Linked DNA regions of Drosophila melanogaster. The protein of the gene in region 1 purifies or fractionates together with the protein of each later gene. This does not show direct contact. Each region holds a gene or a part of one and is shown on either strand. Other genes may lie near its edges. The genes, in order: Mlc-c and jar.

Region 1 (4,230 bases):
TTTTCGCCGGCGGAAGGGGCAGTGTTCGCTGGCAGCGCAGTGGACATGGAGCCGGTGCCTCCAGCTGCAGTTTGTACACTGTGCGTGGGCGGGTAAATGGGTAAGGGGATGGTTAGTCATATCATAAGCTTGTGGGTGGCATACGAGGTGCTTCTCCACTCACATTCCGGCTTCCAAACCTTCTGAACCGGAGAACTGGGCTCGGGGGCACCGCCTACTCCGCCGGATCCACCGGTATTCGCATTTCCGGCGCCCGCCTCCGTGTTCCGGGGCATCCTCCCTCGGATTAGCAGGCCACTTGGTCAAAAGCCACTAAGTAGGCGGCGAATAATTAAGGAATGCAGCCAATTAAGTAAAGTATACAAATAATTTTGTCCGAGCGAGCAGAGCTGCCAGACTGGCGAAAATTAGCGCGGTATTAAAGTCGGAAGAATACTAAATTTAAATGACTATAACTTTAGATAAACTTTATAGTAAGCTTATTGAATTTATTGATAGCTAAACTACATTATATTGTTTTGTAAATACTGTAGTATGCAGTGGTTCTCACTTAATAATCAGTTTAAAAATGTCCGAAAGCTCAGAGCACAAGAGCTCGCAAAAAATACCACAAACAATTTGCTTAATTTCAGTTAAGTTTCCTAAATATTTCAAAAATTTGCATCAGTCGTAATTTTAAGCAGCCATTTATTTGATTGCCATCCGCTTTCAACAAGAAATAAAAACAAGAGCTAAGGTTTCAATTGGTTTAATAGTTTAAGTACGTTTCTTTTGTAAAAAGACCTACACATTCATTGGATCTCATTTCATTATTTATTAAATACAAATATTAAATTATTTAAAAAAAAATAAACATGTAAAACTTCAAAATGCGCATTTAAATACGGACACACGCCACCGACGCATATCAGCTTTAATTTAGAAATACTTTTTCGTGATACTCTGGCTTTCCTTCCTTCCATTGAAGTATACTATGGTAATTCATATATATATATATATAAATGTATCGAGTGTGATTGGTACAAAAGAACGACTGCACTAGTTGATAATTACTGATTAACCTTCTAGTGTCAATTTTAGAATAATACGCACATTCACAGACGCGGTAATTAGTTATGGTTAATCATGAATCTATGTCTACATCGTTGGTTAATTTTGGAAGTGGGAATAGCTCCAATCTCGTAGTTTTAGTTTTTAGTTTTCAGTTATTAGCTGCTTGTGTTAAGCACTTTCCCCTGTATTTGTTATATCTCGATATCCTTGGTCGTTGTCCTTGGTTTTGAATGCTTTAATGCCGGGGTAAGAATGGCTAAGTTGGAATCACGGAGTTGGAACTTCTGGCGGAATGAACGGCTCATCTATGTGTAGCTTGGCAGGTGTGTTTAGTGTTGGTGTGTTGTATTGTGTTGGATATAGCGTTGCTTCTATTGTCGTGTCGCTGGACAGTTGAACAGCTAGAATCGGTCTGATCCTAACCGCTCATGACCATGCGCACGAACTCCTCGTAGTTGATGTTGCCCTGCTGGTCCTCCATGTTGGCCAGCAGCTGCTCGACCTCCTCGTCGGTGAGCTTCTCGCCCAGCGTGGTCAGCAGGTGGCGCAGCTCGGCGGAGGAGATATAACCGCTGGCGTCCTTGTCGAAGTGACGCAGTCCTTCGATGAAATCATCAGCCGTATCGCCCGAGCGGGCCTTGGAGATCGCCTGATAGATGGGCAGGAACACCTCGAACGAGATGCGCTCGTCGGGCTTCAGCTGGTGGGTGCACTTCTTGACATCCGACTCGGTGGGGTTCTGGCCCAGGGCCCTCAGACACTCGCCCACCTGGCTCAGCTGAATTTTGCCATCTCCGCGGTTGTCGAACAGGTTGAAGGCCTCCTGGAATTCTGCGAATGGAAAGTGCGTGCTGATTGTTGGCAGATGCTTTACAAATCTTAATTATTATCGTTACAACTTACAAGAACCCTTCGATAAGGGATATAATATATAATACCTACATAACTACTACATATAAACGTATGGAAATGTGAGGGGGAACTATAGCTTTCTACCACCCACTAAATGGCTAAATGGATCACCTTCCAGTGTGGTAAAGGTTTGCTTCACATGCGCCGTATAGTAATACATATTGAACCACTCCGATGACCGTTTTGCCAGCTACTGACTGCCTGAAACTCCGCCTGCCCGGATTTGGCTGGCCATCGGATCGAAGCGGATCGGATCGGCTCCGATGCAAGCCACCACTCCGCCTTCCTTGGCCATGGTATACCCTCACGTCGCTGGCAAACTTCGTTTCTCTACCGGGAACTGCCTGCTTGCAAGTAAGATAAACAACCCAGAAATCCTAAGTTTCAAAGTTTTTCGTTTCGAGGCGTGACATCGCAAGTCCATTTCGCGTGCAGTTGGATTTAAGCAAGTGATGGTGTAAGTTAACCAAGCTGCAAAAGTTCTGCGATCTACGTGCGTAAATAGAACATTGTGGTTGGGCTCAATATTTTGTTTTCAGATCCTCTAAAGATCTGAGCACTAGAGTGTTCACCATTCGATGAATTGCTGGGATGTGTTCGGTTATCATGCGAATACGAGATCCAAAAATGGCAATAAAAACAAACGAATCCAGCACATTTTTGTCCATTTTAGGCAATGACAAAACGTCGACGGCTGGCTAAAGATTGCAACAAGGTAAGTTGGAATTGGAAAATAAATATATGGTATATGGCTCGTACATAGGCATATGCGGTTGAACGCTGACGTCAGAGTGTCACGAATCCAGCATGACGGAATTATCAGAGACCATTGACTTTGATTAGGTTAAACGAGGGGATTGCGTAAAGATTCGATTCGATTTGATTCGCCATGGAATCGAAATCGTGTTGCATTTTTACTTAGAGAGAAGGTGATGTTCCGTAAATGGAAGCTGGTTTTTTTTTTTTTTGTCAACTGACTGGCTTCTTATCGCATGGCTATTCGGTTTTTGCAACTGCAATTGCAGTTTTATTTGAAACGAGCAGCCGGCGAGTCAGAAAACCGGGTGATTATCCCATTAGACCGCTCTGTTATCTATATTTTATCGCTCACTTCCTTTCGCTTAAACAGTGTTTTTTTTTTTTTTTTGTACTCATACCGAGGTGTTGGTTATGATTATAAGCGACCAGTTTCTGTCTTACAATAACTGCTCTTATGATGACCTACAAACTTGGTTTACACTAGCTTAAGACTAGCACTAGCTTGTTGGCAGAAACTAACTAGCTGATGGTCGAATAAGTTTGTTGCCTGCTATGCATATTATCAATTAACTTGGTGTGGGTTTCGGATAACCGAAAGAACTCGGATTTATCAAGAGATATTAATGCGAAACTTGGTACACAGCCGTGTGTCGCTATTCTATGAAGCTATTCCTTGGACGAACATAATCTGCTGATCAAAGCCCAAAAGTAGCACAGTTTCGATATGTGTTGTCAGCTTGATCTCGGATGTCTTTCGAAGTCATCACGTCAAACTTTGCCTACAGCTGCTCTTAATTAAAGCATTTTGGACAGGGTATTGCAGTGTTTCGGTTTTGGGACTTTCTCGCCGCTTTTTAGGTGAGTCACGATCGTATTCGTATGGCTGCCGTCTGCCTTCCAGCGTATTTGCTTTATCAATGATTCATGCACACCACACAAATGTACGTGCCATCGCTTTCCCGCATTCCAATGCTGTGTGGGAGTGGGAGGGAGAGGGCGCTAGGTGCCAGCGCACATATCAATACTATACACATATATATATCTGTATATATATATATATGCGATTTGCCCGACTTTTGACTCCTGGTACTTGACCCCGTCTGGTCCTCGTGCGATTCAACTCACCAGCCAACTGATCCTCGGTATAAGCTGCCTGCGGGGAGAGAGAGAGGGGAAAGAAAGGAAAACAATGAAGGAAACTTGAGTGCTGGCTTCCAAAGGCGCCGGAAAGCGCACTTCCAGTGCGATCGTAAACAGTAAACAGCGCCGCAATAAACAGCCTGCACTCACCATATCGATTTGTTTTTAGCTATCTGAGGGAAAACAACACAAAATACACGAAATATTGAATATTGAATTCGACGTCGAAACAAAACGCAAGCAAATTCTGAAACGTTGTTGGTGTTAGTGGTCGCCGATAGTGGGCGCAATCGATAGGCCACTCGAAATTCGATAGGTGCGACAACATCGATGAGTGCAGGGAGTTTAGTGAAATCGAGCAGTGCT
Region 2 (4,846 bases), on another chromosome or scaffold:
AATAGCTCATGCCAACCGACAGGGACAACAGCAAAGGCGGCTATATATCCGACCCTCTCTGGTGCTCGGATATATCCGACTGTTTATGTTATATGCGAAAAGAAGAACGGCAAACAAACGCCGGCTGCATGCGCACTCTCAGTGGAATCGATATGGAATCGGGAGAGCGGGTCTCTAATACCAAGATAGCAATACCCAGATACAACCACTTCAGGCGGACGAGGAGAAGGTGGAGATATGACTAACATGGTACGGAGCCACCCCTAGTCGTTTTTGGTAGCAAATTACACCGATCCCCGGCCACTTACGGGGAAAGCCTCTACCAATTTCCATTTGCACAGCCGCTTGCAGCCAGGTAAGCCAGGTAAGTGGAAACTCGAATGCCTCATCCGATGGCAGTCGTTTGTCAATCAGGCGATCACGATCACTCAGACCTACGCGCTCTCTTTCACTTCCAATTGAGCTGCGCTGCGACAGACAGACAATTAAGCGGGTATTGCAAAAATACAAAGAAATGGTCGCAGTTGAGTCTAGCGACTAAGAGATACCCATTCTTGTTCGTTGAGATACCAGTTTTCATCAGCTAAAAGAACTTAGTTTCATTAGAAAATTATATCTTATAGTTAAGCAAGTACACCAAGTAACTTCAACTTTGAAATCTAGTATTACAAAGTTAGAAGGGTTCAACCATACTTACTTATAACTTATAACTTACTATAGTTAGTAAAACACAATATACCCCTGCGACAATTAATAAAGACGCTCCTGATTGAGCTCAATTAATAAGCGGGGCGCTGACCCATTATGAGAGCGAAAAATCAAAGACGGAAAATCGTACGATACAATGGCTCCTATTTCACACTCGTTTCTCGTTCATTCGCTAGTGTTATTTATCTAAATATTTGCAACAAAGGCTGGCGGAATATTTGATCCCCAGAATGCATCCAGGTGGTGGTGGTAGCTGGTAAAGTTAAGGACAGGAAAATAATTAGTCACCTCACTTTTTATTCATTAAACAACCCCTCTTGGAACTTTTACAAAGAGTACGGGCGGTATGTGGGAACCAATTGTCCTGCTCCACGTCACTAAACTTAAAATATATAGGGAACAAGAATATGAGAACGCACCGTTGTGCAGCCATCGAAATCTATATTTTGAAAAGTTGCCAAATCTTCTTGCTTTGCTGAAATAATTATAGTATAGTACTGAGAACTGAGTACAACACTATCCAACATTCTGACGGATAAACCACTGCGACTGTGGACCAGTCGTGATGCAGGTGTTGCAGAAGAGTGAACCACTCGATAACACCGCATTCTTAACCCATTCCATTCAAACTTGGCCATTTTCGTTTGCATCTTTCATAATTAAACTTAAAAACAGCACGATCAGCGGTGAATCTTTTTGAAGAGTATACTGTTTATATATACTGATATGCGGTGCATCTTAAATTACCATATTCCAAGCTTTAAGTTTAGAACTGGCTACACAAATAGGATAAGTAAAAACTACTGCATCTACGAAAATGAGTATCTTAAAAACCCATCTAACCATTATGGATTTGAAAAGTAACGCATATTTAAAATTAGCGCCAAAACTAATCTCTGGTCACACTGCAGGGCAGATTTTGCGCCCTAACTATCGGCAGCGGTGGTGGCACCTCTAGCGGTCAGCTGTTTTGCGCGTGCTTGTTGTTGTTTCGGTGCCGTTGCTTTTCGAAGTCGAAAATCCAAAAGTGGATTGTTGTGGATTTGATTTCAGTTCGACTCGACTCTCCAACGCGACGGTACGCGATTCGAGACGCTCGTGCTGGTCGCCTTCCGATCGCCGCTTGAATCTTAAATCTAAACTGTTAAAACCGAGGCAAACAAACACAACACCCAGCTGAAAATACTTCAAGTGTTACAAACTTTTGGAAATAGTGTATCGTGGCTATAAATTGCAAGTTCTAAATTCGAACCAAACAAAATCCACGCAGGAGATCGATTCCAAGTGGATTGCGCCTTCATCAATGTGTTCGTGTGCGTCCCCGGAAACATAATCCCCATTTGCCAGTAACTTACGCACGTACAGATTTCCAGCCGTCTTAAGGTAAGTGGCCAATATCTCTCTGGAGGAATAGGGGTAAGGGGATAACCGCCTGACAGCGAGTGGTGGTCACCTGTGAAGGCGGATTTGCTGCCTTTTGCTTTCTGTTGACTTGCGCTTTTCGCCTTTCCGCCTGACATTGGCACATTCTTGTCCACGAAAATTGGTTACCTATGTACAATATGCCAGTGTTGCAAACAAGAAATCGATTAGCAATCGCGGAAGTGACTGCACCCTACATATGAGTACTTTCAACTGGGAATCGTTTTTTGCACATAAACTAAACCAAAGTACAATTAATCATTACATTTTATTAATTTCTATACCAAGTAGTTACATAGAATTTAGCTCTTTTCTGGCTTTGGTAAACTTATTCTAACCATGACTCATATTTGTTTTGTTTGCCCTCCAATATTATTAGTTCTCTATAGAACAGGAGGTTCAAACAGAAAACGTGACCGTAAATCGAACAAAAGGAGTGCGCAGTCGCAACAGCAAATGTCACCACCATTCCTGCAATTCCCACAGCTGTCCTCCTACCACGCATCCTCATCCACATCCCGCACCCACAACCATGCACCCTATTCCATGTGTCCATATGTGTGTGTATGTACATAATTCTATTTATAGACAGGGGCCCATGTCAACGTCGTCAGTTCACAGTTGTTGTTGTTGTGTTTTTAAAGCAAACTCAAAGATAGTTTTGTGTCCCGACCATTTTAATTGAGTGCGGAAATGAGCAAACATTTCTTGGAGCCACACCCCCCTCCCTTCCCTGTCAACCAGGGACACAAGTGTCGTTCTCCCCGATCGACTGACTGGCCGTCTGATTTCCCATTCGAGGCACATTTCGTTTATTTATGTGGAAAATAGGGGCAGAGTAGGAGCTGGAGGAGCAGGGATGTGGACGCCGCTCCTGCGCATGCGTGTCCATGTTTGCAGACGTGCCCAACCTATTCTGAACACTTTAAAGCCAATTAAACGGGTTCGTCGATACCCTTTCATGTGGCCAGGGTATCTATATTTCTCTGGGGGGGTGAGGAATGTTGTCCTTGTTCACGGGAATCGGTGGCTAGAAACAAACAAGAATGTTTATATGGGTGCTAAAACTAACTTACCTATTTGCATTTCCCTTTAACCAAGACATTTTACTTTATAATAAATATTTGATGGATTTATTGAGGTATCACTGTATCATTTCACCTAATATTCGCACAAGGGTGTCGCGCATATAATTCCATATAATTCGAGATCCTTTGCGGTGCACTGGAGGAAGTCCTGTTGTTGTCCCTGTGCTGGCTGTCACTCAAGCCCCGTTCAACCCCCTTTCAAACCGACGTGACCTCCCCCTCGCCGGGTGGCAAGCAATTCCCAACACGCGCCACACAGCTGACAGGATCGCAGGATCACAATCCTGATCTCCATTGCCGTCCATTGTCAGCGCCGACAGCTGCCTATATGAATTATATGGAACCTTCGACGGGTTATACAGATATGTAGCCCAAAGTTTCTCGAATGGAGGCAAACCAATCTTTTTGGAGTGGCCAGCAGTTGGGCTCGAGATGCGTTAGACCAATTTGCATATAATACAAAAAGAGAAACACTGAAACGGCCGACGATTGTTCAAAGATTCGCAGTGAAAGTCAGCCAGAGTGTGTGGTTTAATTGCAGCTTTTGTTTTGATAGTCGATTAGCATAATTCCAGTTGTATTTTGCTTCTATCGTGGCATCGTTGATGGATTTTTTATGTACATGCCCCTCTTGTTTTATTCATGTACATTAGTTTTTTTTGGTTTGTCCAACGCAACACGTGCTTATAAAATATTGGATCAATATATGCAATGAAAGTTCCGTTTCAGTTTCCTGTTCAAAAATATATCAACGGTGATTCAAACTATATATTCGGAATACAGTTGTAAATATGATAAGATAGCACTCATTTTTAAACACTAAATAAATAAATTATTTCAAGCTTAAACTTCAACCACTTAACTAATGTGAATCATGTATGATGATAATGATACGACCATTTTTATAGTTACAGTAACATTTAAATTCATAATCCATAATCCCATAATCTGCAACTTTTTTGTCAAAAAATTTTACTTTCGTTTGATTAATGACTGTCAGTCTATTTATAACTTTTCAATCGTTAAACAATCATTTAAAACAAAGGGACTGAAAATAGATTTGCATAGCTATAGTTTTCGATGGGAAAGAGGCTCGACTTTCTGCAATTTGCTAGTTGTGTGGCCAATAAATTTGGTTATATTATTCTCATTACAACGAAACTGAATTATATTTACCTGCTATTTATTTTTCTGCCTAGCGTCAAACGGGTAATTGTGCTGGGGAACTGAGATAAGATTAAGTGTGAAACGATAACACATATTTGGGAACACCACACACAGGCCGCCCAAAAAAACAAAGGCTGGCTAACACAAAGCCCCCAATGTGACCCAAAATAAACGAAGTGATCCATGCTTTTTTCCCCCATGCTCACATATCCGCCAAGTGCAAAGTAACGACTTGCAGGTCCACACCATATGGAAAATCTGTGAACATGTGTCGTGGAAAATGAGTTATAGGGTCGTCACACAAATCCATCAACGTCTGTAAAATGACTTGGTTAATGGCAATGGCAATGGGAATGGAAATGGGATTCGGATCTGGGTCTGGGTCTGGATGTGGGATAGCCAGCGGTTAGCATTTGCATTTTAATTGCATCTCCGAATTGTAGGAAACGAGCAGCGTTAAT

What was found.
Region 2: the proteins of Mlc-c (region 1) and jar purify together in Drosophila melanogaster (affinity purification with western blotting, with the first as the bait; one study listed by BioGRID). This does not show direct contact.

The regions. Positions count from the first base shown.
Region 1 is NC_004354.4:5,618,403-5,622,632, forward strand, and holds Mlc-c (myosin light chain cytoplasmic), read right to left. Parts: upstream 2,174-4,230; 5' UTR 2,126-2,173; coding exon 2,077-2,125; intron 1,885-2,076; coding exon 1,472-1,884; 3' UTR 734-1,471; downstream 1-733. Other genes in the region: RhoGAP5A (Rho GTPase activating protein at 5A), read right to left, coding at 1-78, 164-275.
Region 2 is NT_033777.3:24,268,144-24,272,989, reverse strand, and holds the start of jar (jaguar), read left to right. Parts: upstream 1-1,756; 5' UTR 1,757-2,091; intron 2,092-4,846. UniProt on the Drosophila melanogaster protein: Myosin is a protein that binds to actin and has ATPase activity that is activated by actin. Together CLIP-190 and jar may coordinate the interaction between the actin and microtubule cytoskeleton.